2 linked regions of the Alligator mississippiensis genome follow. The protein of the gene in region 2 interacts with the protein of the main gene of each other region in a pairwise test. Links are inferred from orthologs where the notes say so. Each region holds a gene or a part of one and is shown on either strand. Other genes may lie near its edges.

Region 1 (3,743 bases), on a different chromosome or scaffold from region 2:
GGGGGGGGGGGGGTGTTAAATAGAAGCCAACGACTGGTTTCAGCTTACAAACTGAAGGCCTGAGAACATCTCAAAGCACCTTAAGGAGAAATGCCTGGTCTCTAACATCAAATTCAATCAATGTTCAGGTCCGTGGGCCAGTACTGGTCATCCAGGTAGTGGTTGCTGTCTGTATTACTGTCTGTAGGGCTGCTAGGGAAACTGTGAGGAAGGCTGCTGGCAAGTTTCTGCTCCCACTCTTCCTCCACCAGTCTGTAGAGCTCCATGGATGTCTGAGCATCTTCCACCGACGAGTGCCCTCTCCGGCCAACCTGACAGCAAAGGAAGAGAGCCACGTTAGAGTGGACAGTCAGCAAAGATCCTGCACGCTAAGCTCTCATACACTACTTATCCAGCCGGTTTTGTTGGACCAGATTCAAATACAACCAGGCCTCCACCCACATCTACACCTCTAGCTTCTATGCGTATTTGGCCCACATCAGCCAAGTACTGCCCTTACAACACCCCTGGGAGGTACAGAACCACTCACCTGAATTCTTGTATGCAGCAGCTGCCTTGCCAGACTCTTGAGAGAGACGCTGGCTTTCAAGGGGAATCCTGCCTTCTGGTTCAGCAAAGGGATCCGACTGGTATCTCGAGTCTGCTCTTTGGGGTGAAAATATTTGAGGGCTTGGAAGTCATTATGTATGGCATGGCCCACCACGATCTTGTCTTTCAGGATCTGCAGGACCTGGAAGTGTCAGAGGGAGGTGAGTTGGGCAGCAAAGCCAAAGTAGAACCCTCTGCTGCACTGACTGGTTTATCTAGTCAGGCTTCCTAAGGAAATCAATCCCAAAAGCCCTCCAATGACTATCCAGACACATGCTACAGTGAAGCAGGGACAAATGTTTCAGAGAAGCTGTCTTGCTGCACCCTCCAGGGCAGGTTAAAAAATAGTAAGAGAGAAGTGGAAGGCAGAGATAATGGTGCATGAGGAGAAGCAGCCTAGACATGCAGAGCATCCTGCTTTAGGCTGACATGCAGCAAGCCAGACTCAGAGCCAGGACTGGGTGGTCAGGAGTTGACAGGTCCCACACCAATCATGCCTCTACTGTGCTGGGGTTTTGAAGAGCTCCCCAGTGAGCCTGGAAGGAGGACAGGTGACAAAGCCTCCCTGCCTGCCGTTGTCAGAACAGCAACATCCCAGGGTCCTGCTGAAGGAAGAGCAGTTTCATCCCACCTGCCCTAAGAGGAAACAAAGCGAGACCTCCCCACCCTACCCCCATGCTTACCTCTCTCTGCGCAGCTTTGAATGGGGTAGCGTTCTGCATGTGCCGCTTGGTGATCCCACTCCACGGAGTCCTGTAGTCCACAATGGGGAGCTCCGGCCGGATATATTTGTCATAGACAACATCTCCGTTGTAGCTGACTACTGTGCATCGTGCCAGCTCACTCAGCTTCCCACCAGGACCCGTGCCCACCATCTCGCAGTCAATGGCTACATATTTCCAAGGTCTCTGGAGTGACCAGGACAAGGAAACTCTGCCTGACTTGGAGCTTGCAGGCAAAGATAATCTACATGCCAAATCCTGGGGTGGTGAGAGGAGGCGCTGCCCCGCTGGGCCCTCAGGACTGTCTGACTCAGCCTGTGACCGCACCTGCTTCGGCTTGGTGAGCTTGGCATGGGTTTCTCCTGCAGGCTGCTCACGCACCATGGATGCTGGCTGCCCACAGCTGCCCGTTTTCTTGGTGAGTGGCTCCTGTGCCATATCTGCTTCTGGCAGCTGGAGTATAACTGGCTGGACCTTTTGTCCCAGCTTGGGTCCCAGGAGCCCCCTCTGCTCCAGCAGAGCCCTGCGCTTCATAAACCGCTGGTGCTTCCGGCTCTTCTTCTTAGCCTGAATCTGCAAGGCCTGACTGTCAGCCTCCGCTGGGAGGCACGGCTGGGCTTTGGACTGGGCACAGCACAGGTCCCGCTTGGCATAGTAGTACTCCAGGAACCGGCCCTCGGACTCCTTCTGCCCCAGCCTGCAGGCCTTCACTGGCCTCAGGACACCTGGTGCTTGCCCCTTGCCAGCAGGCATCCTGCCAAAGCCAGCCAGGGCAACAGGTTAGTCAGTGCATGGGCAACCAGGAGACACCTCACCCCTGTCCCATCCCCCAGGGGAACCCCGGAGCTGCTGTGCTATGGGCATGGGGCCAGCCTAACCCACAGCAGTCACATGGCCTGGGGGACTCCCACAGCAAGTGGGGGGGAAACAGGTGGCACTGCCACGGGCACCCCCCAGCCCAGCCCAGCCCTGGGAGCCGGATCTGCCCTTAGCTCATTAAAACACCCACACGGGGAACGAGATCATTGCTCCGAGCCCTGCCCCACCCCCCTGCCCCAAACCCACCTCGGACCCGCGCCGCGCCGGCTACACGTGTCTATCCCGGAACTAGCTGTGGCAATGGCTGCCACATGCCCGGGCAAGTCCCGCGCTCCGCCCCGCCCCGAGCCGCCCCATTGGCTCCCGGGCCGGGCTGATCTGCATAAAGGGCGGGGAGGGGCTTTTTTTCCCGGGAATTCCGGGCGGGTGTTCGGAGCGCGCCCTGCGCTGGGCCCGGCTGGGACAGCCCCATGCCTGAGGCTTGTAGCCGGGGTGTCCCAGGGTGGAAGGGGCTGCTGGGGACCTCTGGGCAGCAGCCGTGGGAGGCTGCATCTTAGGGCTCAGGCAGAGGGAAGTGAGGGGCAGCGAGCAGACGGGGCTGGTCTGCTCTGCTCTGCACAGGGGCTACCCCCTGGGCTGTCTCTGGCCCTGGGGCTTGCTGGTAGGATGCCTGTCTGGCTTTGAGGAGTAGCCAGATGATCCATAATGATCAGTAAGTGTTGCAGGGGAAAGCCACTTTCTTGGCAGGGACCCAGGTAATGCATATTTAGTCTCCCACTTTCACCCCCAGTGGGAAGATCTTGGCTATATGCTGACTTTATGGCAATGGGAGACTCCTCCCTAGCCATATGGCTGAAGGCAAACAAAACCCAGGGGCAGCCAAATCCCAAGCCAAACCCTGGACATCCACACCTTAGGCCTGCACTAGGATGTCTGCCAAAGGATTTGGAAGCCTCTGAAGCCCCAGGTGGGGGTGGAGCATGCTTGCTCGTAGTAAGGCAACATACGGTTCTTGAATGACTCCTGGGTTTGGAATTGATTTGGCTGATTTGACTTGGGATGCGAAAAATTTTCCTTAAAAAAAAAAAAAAAAGGCATGGGTATCACACTCCATGGCAGACCAGAGCCCCACGGTGTAAGGCACTGCACGTGCCCAGAACACAACTCTGTTAGCACTTGGGAAGAGAGACTTGTATAATCCAGCTGTGATTATAAAGGCCAGTGTCTATACCTGTTGGTGTAACAGCTCTGCACAACAGACTTCTACTTGCACCCGGTTACATCAGTGGAATCTCCCACAACACACGCAGGCTTTATAGGGTGGGAGTTTTTATTCTGAAGCAAGTGTCTTTCCCTGCTTTTACTTTGGGTGTTTCCCAAGCAACCTAAGCCAAACAGCAAGGAGCATTGCACCAAACTAAGAGGGACTGAATGGGGGATGAGGGAGAGAAGGGGGTGCCAGGGTAATAACTATGGCTACAGCTACATTAAGTGCTCTTCCCTGGTGGAGGAGGACTGGTATTGTCACCCTAACAAAGTGCTTCTCTCAAGGTTGCAGCTAATCCAGCAAAGCCGCACGCTGCGTGAGCATAGTAAAATCATAGTAGATCCACC
Region 2 (3,743 bases):
GCGCTCTCCTCCCACAGCAGCTGCACGATGCCCGACTGCCACCCGGCGCCCGCGTCAGCCTGGGCACGGCCGCAGCCCCCGGGGCGCCAGGGCCAGCTGGGGGAGCCCCTGCCAAGGGGTCACTGCCTCGAGGTGCAGCAAGGCCAGCCCCCACCGGGACCCCAGGAAGATGCAGAAAATGACCCCCTCCAGAGACAGGATCCAGGGGGCTTAGGCGCAGAGCGGGGGCAGGGGGCTTAGGCGCAGCCTTCCCCTGTGGGATAGTCAAGGAACCCCCCAGCCAGGGGCACGTGGAAGCAGCAGGCCCAGCCCCCAGGCAGCCCGCCCCATACCTCGTGCTGGCACTTGTGCCGCAGGCTCTGCGTGGAGAGGTCGTAGATGGCCAGCGTCCCGTCCAGGTAGCCCACGGCGGCCAGTGGCATCCTGGGGGGCCGGGGGAAGCTGTTACGGGGGCAGCAGGGGCAGAGACTACCACTGCAGCTGAGGGGGGAAGTCACAGGCAGAGCCCCTGCTCCATGCAGCGGTCAAGGGTAGCCCAGGCAAAGGGCAGAGATCACGTGACTCCTGGCTGCCAACACCCACCACCCCATGGCCAGGACCCCGACCCTGACCCCCGCACTCACACATTGCAGAAGCCCAGCGACTCCACGGAGTTCGACTCGGGCTCCTCGGCCGCCCCGGCTGGGGTCTGCGGGGCGGCGCTCCCCTCCTGGAACACGCACACCACCTGCGGCACACGCCTGTCAGCCGGGGACTCGGTAGCCCAGCGGGGATCCCATGGCAGGGGCACCACGTTGCAAGGGGGCCCTGGGCCATGCCACCCCCAGGAATACGGCCACAACCCCCCCCTCCGAGGGCTCCAGCAAGCGGGGATGAGCTGCCTTGGGCCAAGGGTGCACCCCAGCATGTTGGCCCCGCTGCCAGCAGTGCATGCAGTACACTCCTGGGGCAGCAGTGCATGCAGAAGGCTCCTGGGGCAGCACATCAGCAGAGACCCCCACCCAGGGGTGTCCCCCCAACTCAGTCCCAAGATGACACAGACTCACCTTGCCGGTGGCGGCGTTCACCAGCTTCGCCTGGCAGTCCACAGAGCCCGTCAGGACCAGGCTGCCGTCCTTACTGCTGGCCACACACGTCAGGGGGCCCTGGTGCCCGTCCTGGCCTGGGGAGGACCTGGGGTGAGCCCCCACGGCACCGCCACTCCCAACGGCCCTCAAACCCGACCCCAGCCCCAGGTTGGGACAAGCCCTGCCTACCTTTGAGGACGTGGATCGAGCTGCCCTGCTTCAGGTCCCAGACGCGCACGGTGCCGTCCTCGTAGCCGACCACCGCTGTCTTCCCTGGACGGAGAGAGGGGCTCGCGGCTCTCATCACCCCCAAGACCCACCCCCGCACGCCCGGGGACACCCTCCCCGCCGCACGCCGCAGGGGCCACCCCCAACGAGCACCGCCGATGCCCTGACGCCCTCCCCCGGCCGCGCCGCACTGGGGGCAAGGCAAGGCAGCCCGCACCGTCGGGGAGAACCTTGCCGCAGGTGGCCGGGCAGCTCGGGCCCTGGAAAGTCTTGCAGTCTCCGCCCGGGATCTTCCACATCCAGGAGTTGCCGTCGGCCGTGCCCGCCAGCAGGACGTGGGCCTGGGGGTGCCACTCCATCCACTGGGCAGAGGGAGGAGGACGCATGGAGCCCAGGCACCACGCGGGGCGGGGCGGGGCGGGGCGAGGGGACCGGGCCCTCGGCCTGCACCCCCTCCCCGCTGCCCGGCCCCCCAACTCTCACCTCCAAGTCCCCCACTTCGAAGGACCAGACCTCCTCCTTGGTGTCCACGCGCCACACCTTGATCAGCCCGCTCATGTCCCCCGTGGCCACGAACACCGAGTCGTGGCTGAAGCCGGCGCAGGTGACCGAATCCTTGTGACCTGCGGGGGCGGAGAGGGGGCAGCTGGCGCGGGGGCCGCGGGGGGAGGGGGGGCGGCCCCGTCCACCCCCGCCCGGGGCGGCGCGGCCGCGGGCGCCTCACCCGAGCACTGGAAGAGCAGCTCCCCGTCGCTCAGCCGCCACACGAACGCCTGGTCGTCCTCGCCGCCCGTCACCGCCAGCGTGTTGGTGCGCGGGTCCAGGCTCACGCAGAACACGGAGGCTGGGGGGACACGGCCGCACGTCCGTCAGTGCACGGCGCGGCACGGCGCGGCGCGGGGACGTGCGGGGACGGGGCTCACCCGAGTGCCGGGCGAAGGTGACCTCGCTGTCGTCGGGGGCGGGGGGGCCGCCGTGCCGCGCACCCCCCCCCTCCTCCTCTTCCTCCTCCGTGTCCCAGGCCTCGTCCTCCGGCCCCTCGTCTGCGTCCGCGTCCACGTCCACGTCCTGCATCTCGGCCGCCAGCTCGTCTGCGGGGGGGGGTCCGCGGTCAGAGCCTGCAGCACTGGGGGGCGCCCCCCCGCAAGGTGGGGGAGGGGCGTGACCCCCATGAGGGGCGGGGGAGGGGCAGAGGTGGGGGAGGGTACGCACCCCCCCAACTGAGGGCATGGGGGAGGGGCGTGACCCCGTGGGGGGCGGGGCGTGACCCCGCGGGGGGGAGGTCGTGACCCCGCGGGGGGCGGGGCGTGACCCCGCGGGGGGCGGGGGGAGGAGGGGTCGATCGTGACCCCGCGGGCGCTCACCGGGGCCGGGCGGGCCCAGCTCCACCACCTCGATGATCTCCTCGTCGCCGTGGAAGAGCATTGCGGGGCCGGGGCCGGGGCCGGGGCCGCCGGCGGGCTCCATGCTGCGCTGCGCTGCGCCGCGCCGGGCTGGGCCGCGTTCCCCTCAGCGCCGGAGCAGGGCGCGGTGGGAAGGGGAGGGCGCGGCTCCGCCAATGGCGAGCGAGGAAAGGGCCGCTGCAGCCAATCCGCAGGCGCGTCATCGCCCGGGCCCTGCCCCTCCCGCAACAGGGTAGGTTGTCCTCCGCGCCATACGCGAGGCCGCGGGGCATGCTGGGGAGTGTAGTCCCCGATCCGCCTTCGGCCGCCGCGCGGGGTGTGTCGGGACGGCGCAGGGGCAACATGGCGGCGGCCGGGCTGCGGGGTGAGTGCGGCGCGGGGAGCCCCGGGATAGCGCCCACCCCAACTCCGCATGAAAGCCTTAAGGGTTTGGGGGGTACTGCGCATGCGCACTAATGCGGGCCGCGACTGTCCGCGTTTCTCCTGCGATAGCTTCTCGGGAGAGGCCGGCCCTGCGCCTGCGCACGAGCGCCGCCGGATCGGGGCTCTGCAGGGCCCACCCCCTGCCTCAGTTTCCCCCGCTGCAGCAAGGCGCTGCCCCGCTTTGCCTGGGCCAGGCCCAGGTCAGACCAGGTGGAGGGAGGGGGCTGGGGGTCCCGTCCAGCACAGCCGTGTCCCCCGTGCGTCCTGCCCTCAGCTCCGCTCAGCGTTTATCACACGAGTCGCCCGTCCACAGCATCACGTATGTAACATGTGCCGCCCGGCTCTGGGGCGTTACACGTGTCCGGGCAGTGACGGCCTGGGGCCCGTCTACATTTATTGCGCGATTCACCAGTCAATTTGTGTAACAAATGTAAGGTGCGGCGGGGGCCTTAACTCCCAGCAGGGAGCTGTGGGGTGGCATCCCCGCCCCGACGACTGCCCCACTGCCTCCGGTGTGGCAGCGCTGTAATGCGGGTTCAACATTACGTGTGCCCGTGACCCTGCTCCCCCCTTGTGCAGGCTTCTTCTCCGCGGCGGCGCGCCGCACCGGTGTCCGCACACC

The links.
Region 1: the proteins of AAMP (region 2) and AEN interact in binary tests that used the Homo sapiens proteins (3 or more experiments, as listed by UniProt). The link is inferred for Alligator mississippiensis from reciprocal best matches to the Homo sapiens genes AAMP and AEN.

The regions. Positions count from the first base shown.
Region 1 is NC_081834.1:14,261,368-14,265,110, reverse strand, and holds the start of AEN (apoptosis-enhancing nuclease), read right to left. Parts: upstream 2,448-3,743; 5' UTR 2,376-2,447; intron 2,065-2,375; 5' UTR 2,064-2,064; coding exon 1,272-2,063; intron 731-1,271; coding exon 530-730; intron 312-529; coding exon 114-311; 3' UTR 1-113. UniProt on the Homo sapiens protein: Exonuclease with activity against single- and double-stranded DNA and RNA. Mediates p53-induced apoptosis.
Region 2 is NC_081827.1:253,654,971-253,658,713, forward strand, and holds the start of AAMP (angio-associated migratory cell protein), read right to left. Parts: upstream 2,852-3,743; 5' UTR 2,763-2,851; coding exon 2,660-2,762; intron 2,387-2,659; coding exon 2,219-2,386; intron 2,140-2,218; coding exon 2,020-2,139; intron 1,919-2,019; coding exon 1,779-1,918; intron 1,658-1,778; coding exon 1,513-1,657; intron 1,341-1,512; coding exon 1,257-1,340; intron 1,163-1,256; coding exon 1,047-1,162; intron 728-1,046; coding exon 624-727; intron 424-623; coding exon 333-423; intron 97-332; coding exon of another isoform or gene 55-96; exon of another isoform or gene 36-54; coding exon 1-35. Other genes in the region: probable hydrolase PNKD, read left to right, coding at 2,969-3,062, 3,701-3,743. UniProt on the Homo sapiens protein: Plays a role in angiogenesis and cell migration. In smooth muscle cell migration, may act through the RhoA pathway.